2 linked regions of the Nothobranchius furzeri genome follow. The protein of the gene in region 1 binds, or shares a complex with, the protein of each later gene. Links are inferred from orthologs where the notes say so. Each region holds a gene or a part of one and is shown in the gene's direction. Other genes may lie near its edges. The genes, in order: cstf3 and cstf1.

What was found.
Region 2: the proteins of cstf3 (region 1) and cstf1 are in contact, whole or in part, in a crystal structure (PDB 6B3X), measured with the Homo sapiens proteins. The link is inferred for Nothobranchius furzeri from reciprocal best matches to the Homo sapiens genes CSTF3 and CSTF1. Residues at the interface, in NP_001317.1 of Homo sapiens: Tyr581, Pro582, Lys583, Pro584, Asp585, Thr586, Gln588, Met589, Ile590, Pro591, Phe592, Pro594; in NP_001028693.1 of Homo sapiens: Arg118, Glu216, Ala217, His226, Pro227, Ser228, Asp230, Phe231, Thr240, Arg242, Leu243, Tyr244, Cys251, Phe252, Val253, Ser254, Cys255, Tyr270, Ser272, Ser273, Ala274, Asn275, Gly291, Val292, Ser293, Asn294.

The regions. Positions count from the first base shown.
Region 1 is NC_091749.1:32,981,248-32,985,063, reverse strand, and holds the end of cstf3 (cleavage stimulation factor subunit 3), read left to right. Parts: intron 1-11; coding exon 12-138; intron 139-562; coding exon 563-640; intron 641-714; coding exon 715-877; intron 878-1,070; coding exon 1,071-1,180; intron 1,181-1,259; coding exon 1,260-1,376; intron 1,377-1,468; coding exon 1,469-1,687; intron 1,688-1,762; coding exon 1,763-1,865; intron 1,866-1,952; coding exon 1,953-2,022; intron 2,023-2,101; coding exon 2,102-2,297; intron 2,298-2,382; coding exon 2,383-2,533; intron 2,534-2,626; coding exon 2,627-2,721; intron 2,722-2,894; coding exon 2,895-2,955; intron 2,956-3,037; coding exon 3,038-3,237; 3' UTR 3,238-3,594; downstream 3,595-3,816. UniProt on the Homo sapiens protein: One of the multiple factors required for polyadenylation and 3'-end cleavage of mammalian pre-mRNAs.
Region 2 is NC_091743.1:5,435,524-5,439,794, forward strand, and holds the start of cstf1 (cleavage stimulation factor subunit 1), read left to right. Parts: upstream 1-1,442; 5' UTR 1,443-1,524; exon of another isoform or gene 1,525-1,583; intron 1,584-1,818; 5' UTR 1,819-1,848; coding exon 1,849-2,017; intron 2,018-4,271. UniProt on the Homo sapiens protein: One of the multiple factors required for polyadenylation and 3'-end cleavage of mammalian pre-mRNAs. May be responsible for the interaction of CSTF with other factors to form a stable complex on the pre-mRNA.

The DNA.
Region 1 (3,816 bases):
TGTTTACCTAGTGAGGCCGTGGGCTCATACGCAGAGAATCAGCGCATCACTGCAGTACGGAGAGTGTACCAAAGAGGCTGTGTGAACCCCATGATCAACATTGAACAGCTCTGGAGAGATTATAGCAAATATGAGGAGGCAAGTGACCCAAATACCGCCCTCTTGTTGTTTTGCCTATAGCACCTTTAGCTTGCTCATTATTCCTGCACAGTATTTCTTGGTGAAACACATGGGAACTCAAACACCAAGCTCTGTTTTGAGAACACGTGCAGTTTCAGTGTAAACATGCAAGCATGAAAAACAACGATGGTTCGCATGAGACGCCCTGAAGAGGAGGCCACTGTCTTCCAAACCAAACGCACTGGTCAGCTCAACAGCTGATCTTTCTCAGAAAACTAGAGGAAACCACAAAAAACCAAAAGTATAATGAAGCACGGTGGTGGCAGTACCACGGTTTTGTTCATGCTGCTGCTTCTGTATCTGCTGGATTCACAAACTTTGATTTTCAGGTGTTTAAAAAACTGACGGATCCCCGGTCTGATCTGCCTACATTTATCCACAGGGGATCAATGTGCATTTGGCTAAAAAGATGATTGAAGATCGGAGCAGAGATTACATGAATGCAAGGAGGGTGGCAAAGGTGAGACGTCCATCAAAGATCTGTACAGGTTACTCATCCTAAAAACTCATACAGGTCTGTTTCCCAACATTCAGGAGTATGAGACGGTGATGAAAGGACTAGACAGGAACGCACCTTCAGTACCGCCACAGAACTCTCCTCAGGAGGCCCAGCAGGTGGAAATGTGGAAGAAGTACATCCAGTGGGAGAAAAGCAACCCACTACGCACAGAAGACCAGACCCTCATCACAAAAAGAGGTAACCAGTTTGAGTTGAACCTTGTTGTTGAAGCTCTTTTTTAGGTAATGGATGTACACATATGGATATTTAACTCATTTTTAAATTCAACCACCAGGGGGCAGCATTTTACACTTTCTCCTTTTTCAATCTAACCCAGGCTTCTACTTGCATTCATTGGAATTTAATTGTATTTATTTGTTGTGTGTTGCAGTGATGTTTGCCTATGAGCAGTGCCTGCTGGTGCTGGGCCACCATCCTGACATCTGGTATGAGGCAGCCCAGTACCTGGAGCAGTCCAGCAAACTGCTGGCAGAGAAAGGAGTAAGAAGATCAAATATCAATCAAATGGCCTTCGATCAAAGACGTTTCCAGATTATTATTTAACTTTTCCTTCCAACAGGACATGAATAATTCTAAACTGTTCAGCGACGAAGCAGCTAACATCTACGAGCGTGCCATTGGGACTCTTCTGAAAAAGAACATGCTTCTCTATTTTGCGTTTGCCGACTATGAAGAAGTAAGTGTGTGATTTAATGTTCGGCGTAAACAAGTCGAGAGGAAAAGCAGCACTAGAGCGTCTCAGCTCATTTCCTCTCGGTGCCTCCACAGAGCCGCATGAAGTACGAGAAAGTGCACGGCATCTACAACAAACTGCTGGCCGTGGAGGACATCGACCCCACGCTGGTCTACATCCAGTACATGAAATTCACCAGGAGGGCAGAGGGCATCAAATCGGGCCGGACCATCTTCAAGAAGGCGCGAGAGGATCCCCGCACGCGTCACCACGTGTACGTGACTGCAGCACTGATGGAATACTACTGCAGCAAAGTAAGACCACGACACACGGCCTCCTCCAAACAACTCTTTCTACCTGGTTTCTAATTCCCTTCCTTTCTTCTGCAGGACAAATCTGTGGCCTTTAAGATTTTTGAGCTTGGTTTGAAGAAGTACGGTGACATTCCAGAGTACATACTCGCTTACATCGATTATCTCTCACACCTTAACGGTAGGGGAGAATCCTCTAGAACATCTCTTTATTGCTGACTCTTAAAGCATGAAGTCTGTCCCTAAAAGTGCCCTTTTTTCTTCTCAGAGGATAACAACACACGGGTTTTGTTTGAGCGTGTTCTAACCTCAGGAAGCTTATCACCAGAAAAGTCTGGGTATGGCCACGCTTCTGTTGAGCTGTGTGTGTTTTTGCCAAAGCGTCACGTTAACATCCACAAACCTCTGGTTCCTCAGAGAGATCTGGGCTCGGTTCCTGGCGTTTGAGAGCAACATAGGAGACCTGGCCAGTATTCTCAAAGTAGAGCGCCGGCGCTTCACTGCCTTCAGAGACGAATACGAGGGCAAAGAAACGGCCCTGCTTGTGGACCGGTACAAGTTCATGGACCTGTATCCCTGCTCCACCAGCGAACTCAAAGCCCTTGGCTACAAGGTGTGCAGACTGCTCATGTTGTTTACAGCCATGGGGTTCGATCCAGCGTAGTTTTGTGTTGACATGAACTGATCATTGTCCTCAGGATGTGTCTCGTGCCAAACTGGCAGCACTGCTTCCAGAAACCGTGGTAGCACCCTCTTTGCCTACACTAAAGGATGAAATCGATCAGAAACCCAAGTACCCCAAACCAGACACCAATCAGATGATCCCCTTCCAGCCACGTCACCTTGCTCGTACGTGATCCCTTCCAGAGCATCACAGATTCACCTATTTCCAAACAGACCCGACGCATTAATGGATTTCTCTTTGATGTTTTTTCTCTGCAGCTCCAGGCCTACACCCTGTCCCTGGTGGAGTTTTCCCAGTCCCCCCAGCAGCTGTTGTTCTAATGAAGCTGCTTCCACCACCCATGTGCTTCACTGTGAGTCGCAGGCTGCAGCTGAGTGCTGATAATCTATATTTGGTGTTGTGTTTGCTTCACAGCCAGACAGGACACGGGAAAGATATATATATATATATATATATATATATATATGGTGTTAAAAGGATTTTTGTTGTAAAATGTCTTAGAAAGCTTTTTTTTTGTGACTGTAGGGCCCTTTTGTTCAAGTGGATGAGCTGATGGAAACTTTGAGGAGATGCACACTTCCTGAGAGTGAGCCACTTTTTTGTTGCTGTACAACGAAAATTGTCTTTTTTAACAGAAATGGTAAATGTCCTCCTGAACTTTGCTTTAGCTGTTGAGGCTGCTGTAGAGCTGATCACCGGCAGACTGCCCGATGCCAGTGGGGAAGGAAACGGAGCCATGGAGAACCACGCTATCGCCAAGGCACTGAAGAGGCCTAATGCTGACTCTGACGAGGAGGACGACAAAGGAGCTGTGGCTCCGCCCATACACGACATCTACCGTGCACGCCAACAGAAAAGGATTCGATGAACTCAAACATCAAAGTAAACCCTTCGAGAATGTACTCGTCTTATGGTGGTTAAAGATCAGTTAGTCATGTCTGCTCTACCAGTCTGCAGATATCCTGATGAGTGCACACACACACACACACACACAGAACCATTCAAAGTGTGTGTGTGCACCCAAGTGTTCCTGTGACTTTTGTTTTGTCAGCAGTTTTTATTTTTGAAGACTGAACAGTTTACTGTACATTTTTAACTCGATTGTGGATTTCTGTATCCAGCTCACCGTTGATCTTATGTTTCAGCCACAAAGTGCAAGAAATTTGTTTTGTTTTAGATAACTGGAGGAAACACAGTTTCTGTGAATGAAAGTGGATAAAAGCAACCATTGTGTGTGTGTTTTTTTATTATTTATCACTGGTAATATGGCTTCAAAATCTCAAGTGAATGTTTTTAGTAAATGAGTTGCAGACTTTAAAATCACCAGCAGGGCGCGCCCTTTAGCTATGTTGTGCCATCTTTATTTTCCCCACTAGAAAATAACTAAATAGAAAGTAAAGTACTTCTGACAATAATATATACACAGAAACATGCAGGTTTTTCAGAT
Region 2 (4,271 bases), on another chromosome or scaffold:
GCCCAGGAGGCCGGCGACGAGGAACCAGGAGGCGGGACCAGGAAAGCCTGAGGGTAGGGGGTCTTGGAGGAGGAGGACGAGGAAAGGTCTCTGGAGACAGGGACTGTGACTGGAACACTTGAGACTTGGGAGACTGGAACACTTGTGGGGAGACTTGAGACTTGGGAGACTTGAGACTTTTGAGACAGGATCATTTGTAACTGGGAGACTTGAGACAGAAACACTTGTAACTGGGAGACTTGAGACAGAAACACTTGTAACTGGGAGACTTCCACTTCAGAGCTGGAGACAGGAACGTCCACTTCAGAGCTGGAAACGTCTACTTCAGAGCTGGAGCTGGAGATGCCTACTTCAGAGCTGGAAACGTCTACTTCTGCTGACTTCGAGACAGGAGGCGTCGACTTCTGGCCTGGGGGCGTCGACTTCTGGCCTGAGGGCGTCGACCCTTGGACTGGAGGCGTCGACCCTTGGGCTGGAGGCGTCGACCCTTGGGCTGGAGGCGTCGACCCTTGGGCTGGAGGAGTTGACCCTTGGGCTGGAGGCGTCGGACTGGGCGAAGCCTCTCGGACTGGCTGGACCGGAGCCTCGTGGACTGGCTGGACCGGAGCCTCGTGGACGGGCTGGACCGGAGCCTCGTGGATGGGCTGGACCGGAGCCTCTGCGTCCTCCACCGCCGAAGCAGGAAGCGATGCGTCCTCTTGGACCACCGCTGAGGCAAGATGTGGTGATGGTAGATGGAGCTCAGAAGGGGGTTGCAGAGCAGGGGCGTCTTGGACAGGCGGCACAGCTCTGGCTTCAGGAGACTGCTGGTGATGGTGGTGATGTTTGTGACGAGTGCGTCTCCTCGGAGGTGCGGGGATAATGTTGGCAGAAACGGGGGAGAAGAGGAGATTTCTGGGACATCTACTGACCAAGAGCGCAGACCTTGAGGTGAGGATTCAGCTCCCTTAGCAACCTGACCCACCAGAAGACTGGAGGTGGCGTCAGGAGGAACCGTGCCTCGCCAGCAACGCCGATCAGGAGATGAAACCCGGACTCTTTGCTGCTGTGAAGTGGAGGGTGGACTCATCTGAGGTGCTGAGACGGCATCAACATGTACAGGAGGGATGGAGATGAAACCGGATCTGATTGTCTGAGACGACGTAGGGCGGGACTGGAGAATAGGAGCAGATGGAGGAGGATCACGGGGTACATTCTCTTCCATGAATGGTTTGCTTTATTTAAAATTGAGATGCCTGTGGAGATGTTTGTCTTTACGTGTCTAACATGGGGTTTCCACAATAGTTTATTATCGAACTACTACACCTGATGAAACAGGTGAAAGTGGACTAACTCCAAACTCTGTTTTCGTGTTTTTACTATGGGTCGTCTCTTAAAACTCCTCCTAACTGAGGAACAATTCTGAAACTCGTGTCATCTGTGTGGTTTGTCAATAAAGTTACAACACAGTAACATGACGTCAACGTCACGTGAGCACGATCTTTACGTAAAACGTAACGCACGTTTGGGTTTGGGATTAGAGAGGTTAGTATTTTTAGTTGTTACGTTTGAAGAAGCCGGGAAAGCGTCTGAAGTGTCGCCGGGTTCGTTCGCCCGGTTGTTTGTCTTACTGCAGCACTTGGTTCAGCTTACGCTGCTGCTGTCTACCTGCAGCAGTTTGTTCGGTTAAAGCTAACGCTGTTAGCATCATAGCCGTTTCATTCAGTCCACCCTGCTCTGTTTGACTGGGGTTTAGCTCTGCTTTAGCCTGTGCTGTCATAGATGACGCTAGAGGAGCTAGCCTAGTGCTGGGATAAGTTTTGCTGTGCTTGGTTACAGATTACTAGCCGCTGCAGCTGAGGGAGCATCATGTTTCGTCCTAAACCCACCCTGAAGGACCGACAGCACCTTTATAGGCTCATCATAGGCCAGCTGCTTCATGACGGGTACACCAACGTCGCCAACAGCCTCATCAACGAGGTCAAGCCTCAGAATGTGGTGTCTCCGTCCGAGCAGCTGATGCAGCTGGCTAAGATCGGTAAGACACCACCCTGTCCTGTCCTGTTTGTCCGACAGCAGGACAACAGGAACTCTTCACTTTACCTCATTTAGCTTCAGATGAAGATCAGGGTTATAGCCATTGTGGGGTTAATTAGGATGATGCAAAGGCCCAGGTGCGCGGTGATCTTAGGTCAGATTGAATGTAAGTGCTGCACCAATGCATTACTGCCTGCAGGCGACTGCAGATATCAGAGTCGCTTTTCACAGAAAAAAATATTTGTCCTCATTTTCAACAAACTGCAGTTTGTGGGTTAGAAAACGCTTTAATGGCAATATTTTGTCGAGTTTATAGGTGGTCAATGTAGCGTAGTACTGCTGAGTGCAGTTGCACAACCTACTGGAGAGAAGTGTGTAGAGTAGCTCAGATGAAACATTGTGTCAGCATGAGAAATTGGGTTTTATTTTTATTTTATTTTTTATTTTATTTTAAGTATCAGAACAATAACATGGCATAGTACTCTCATTGAATAACAATCAATTTTACAGGCAGACAGAAGTACCTTGAAAAGAGTTCCAGTAAGACCAAATACTTTAACATAACTGTGGAATTAGCTAAAGGAAAACAACACACAGGAAAAAAATAAATAAAAAATGGGGAGATATCATATTACAAATCCATATTTGTGTTAGGAGTCAGAGGTTAACAGATATTTTTCCATTGCAGAGTATAGAATTGTTGCTTTACTACTTTTCTTGAGCTTGAGACCTAAAGAAAAGATCAATTTCTTTCTGAAAAGGAGGCAAATATGGGGTATTTTTCAGAGCACGGTTCTTATTTATAAAAATTTACCTAAAAGTACAATGACATTTAAAATCAGGTCAGTTTCTTTTATTGCTGAAAAAACCCAAATAAAACATTATGTTCTGAGAATGTAGGCAGCATCTGTATTTTGGATTTTAACCAGCCTTCCACTCGTGCCCAAAAAAACCTTTGTGCAGTTACAGTCAAAGAATATGTGGCAAGTAGTTTCCATCTCCAAGCCGCAAAAGGCACAGCCATCGTGGTCTAAGTTAAATCTAAGCCACAGGAGTTCACCCAATTTTAAATAGCATTTCTTTAACTTTCTGAGCAATTGGGTATTTAAAGAAGTGACTTCTAATTCTCTTTTGGGTCTCCGAAGATGGATAACAAGATATTAGAATCTTATCGGAGAGCACGGATGAAGTATTTGAATGTAATGCCTACGTATAGATGTACTGGTTAATTTTTTCGTGTCTTTTAAAAGCGAGCCCACCAAGGTGAACAGCTGGGAGTCTGGGAATTATATTATTTATCTTTAAATTATGGGATATTAGTCAAATAGACTCCGCAATCATTTTGATTACCTTTACATATTCCTCTCTATTATGCAGGTCGTATTGTGTTTTAAAAGCATCAAACGATATGCATTGGCTATAGTCATCTAACATATGTAGTACTGACCAGACACCTTTATCAACCCAGTTTTGGTAATACAGAGATTAATTTCTTGAAATTACGTACCTACATTTCCAAAAGGGGGTAGAATGGGGGCTGAAATTGTGTTTATAGATCAGCTTCCAATATAAGAGTACTTGCTGGTGAAAGAGCGCTAGCTTGATGTGGAGCTTTCTGATATCATGGTCACATCTGAGGAGAAAGGTTATGCCCCCAAGTTTTTTGAATATCGTGTTTGGAATATGAAACCAAAAACTATCATGGTCACTAATAAAGTTCCTCAACCAGTTGATTTGAATGGTACCATTAACACAAAGTTTAGTGCACTTATTCCACCATCTTCCTGTTTTTTAACCATATTACTTTTTCTAATATAATAGTTTGAATGCTGTTAAGCATTCAAACTATTGTTTTCCTGTTTTTCTAGTTCTTCTTCTTCTGCTTCCGTACACTTTTTGAACCTTTTCTACTCCTTCAAATTTTTTACTATTTCAAAAATTTTATATCAAAACGTTCAGCTCGTCAAGCTCTTTCCGCCTCTTACTTTTGGCATTGATATCTTTAAAATTTTTCGAGTTAAGCCTTTTCAGCAAAACATTTCCCATTGAAATGAATGGGATTGGTCAATTTTCAGCTAATTCCTATCACTTTTTTGACCTAAAACTCTATAGGGTTCCTTTTAACTTAGAGACTTCATTCAAAGTTTAACAAACTCACAAGACTTTCCCGTTTAACATATTAAAGAGGCTTTTTGATATCTTTTATGGTTTTTCTAAAATCGCAGGTAGAAGTTGAGGTACGACATGAAATTTTC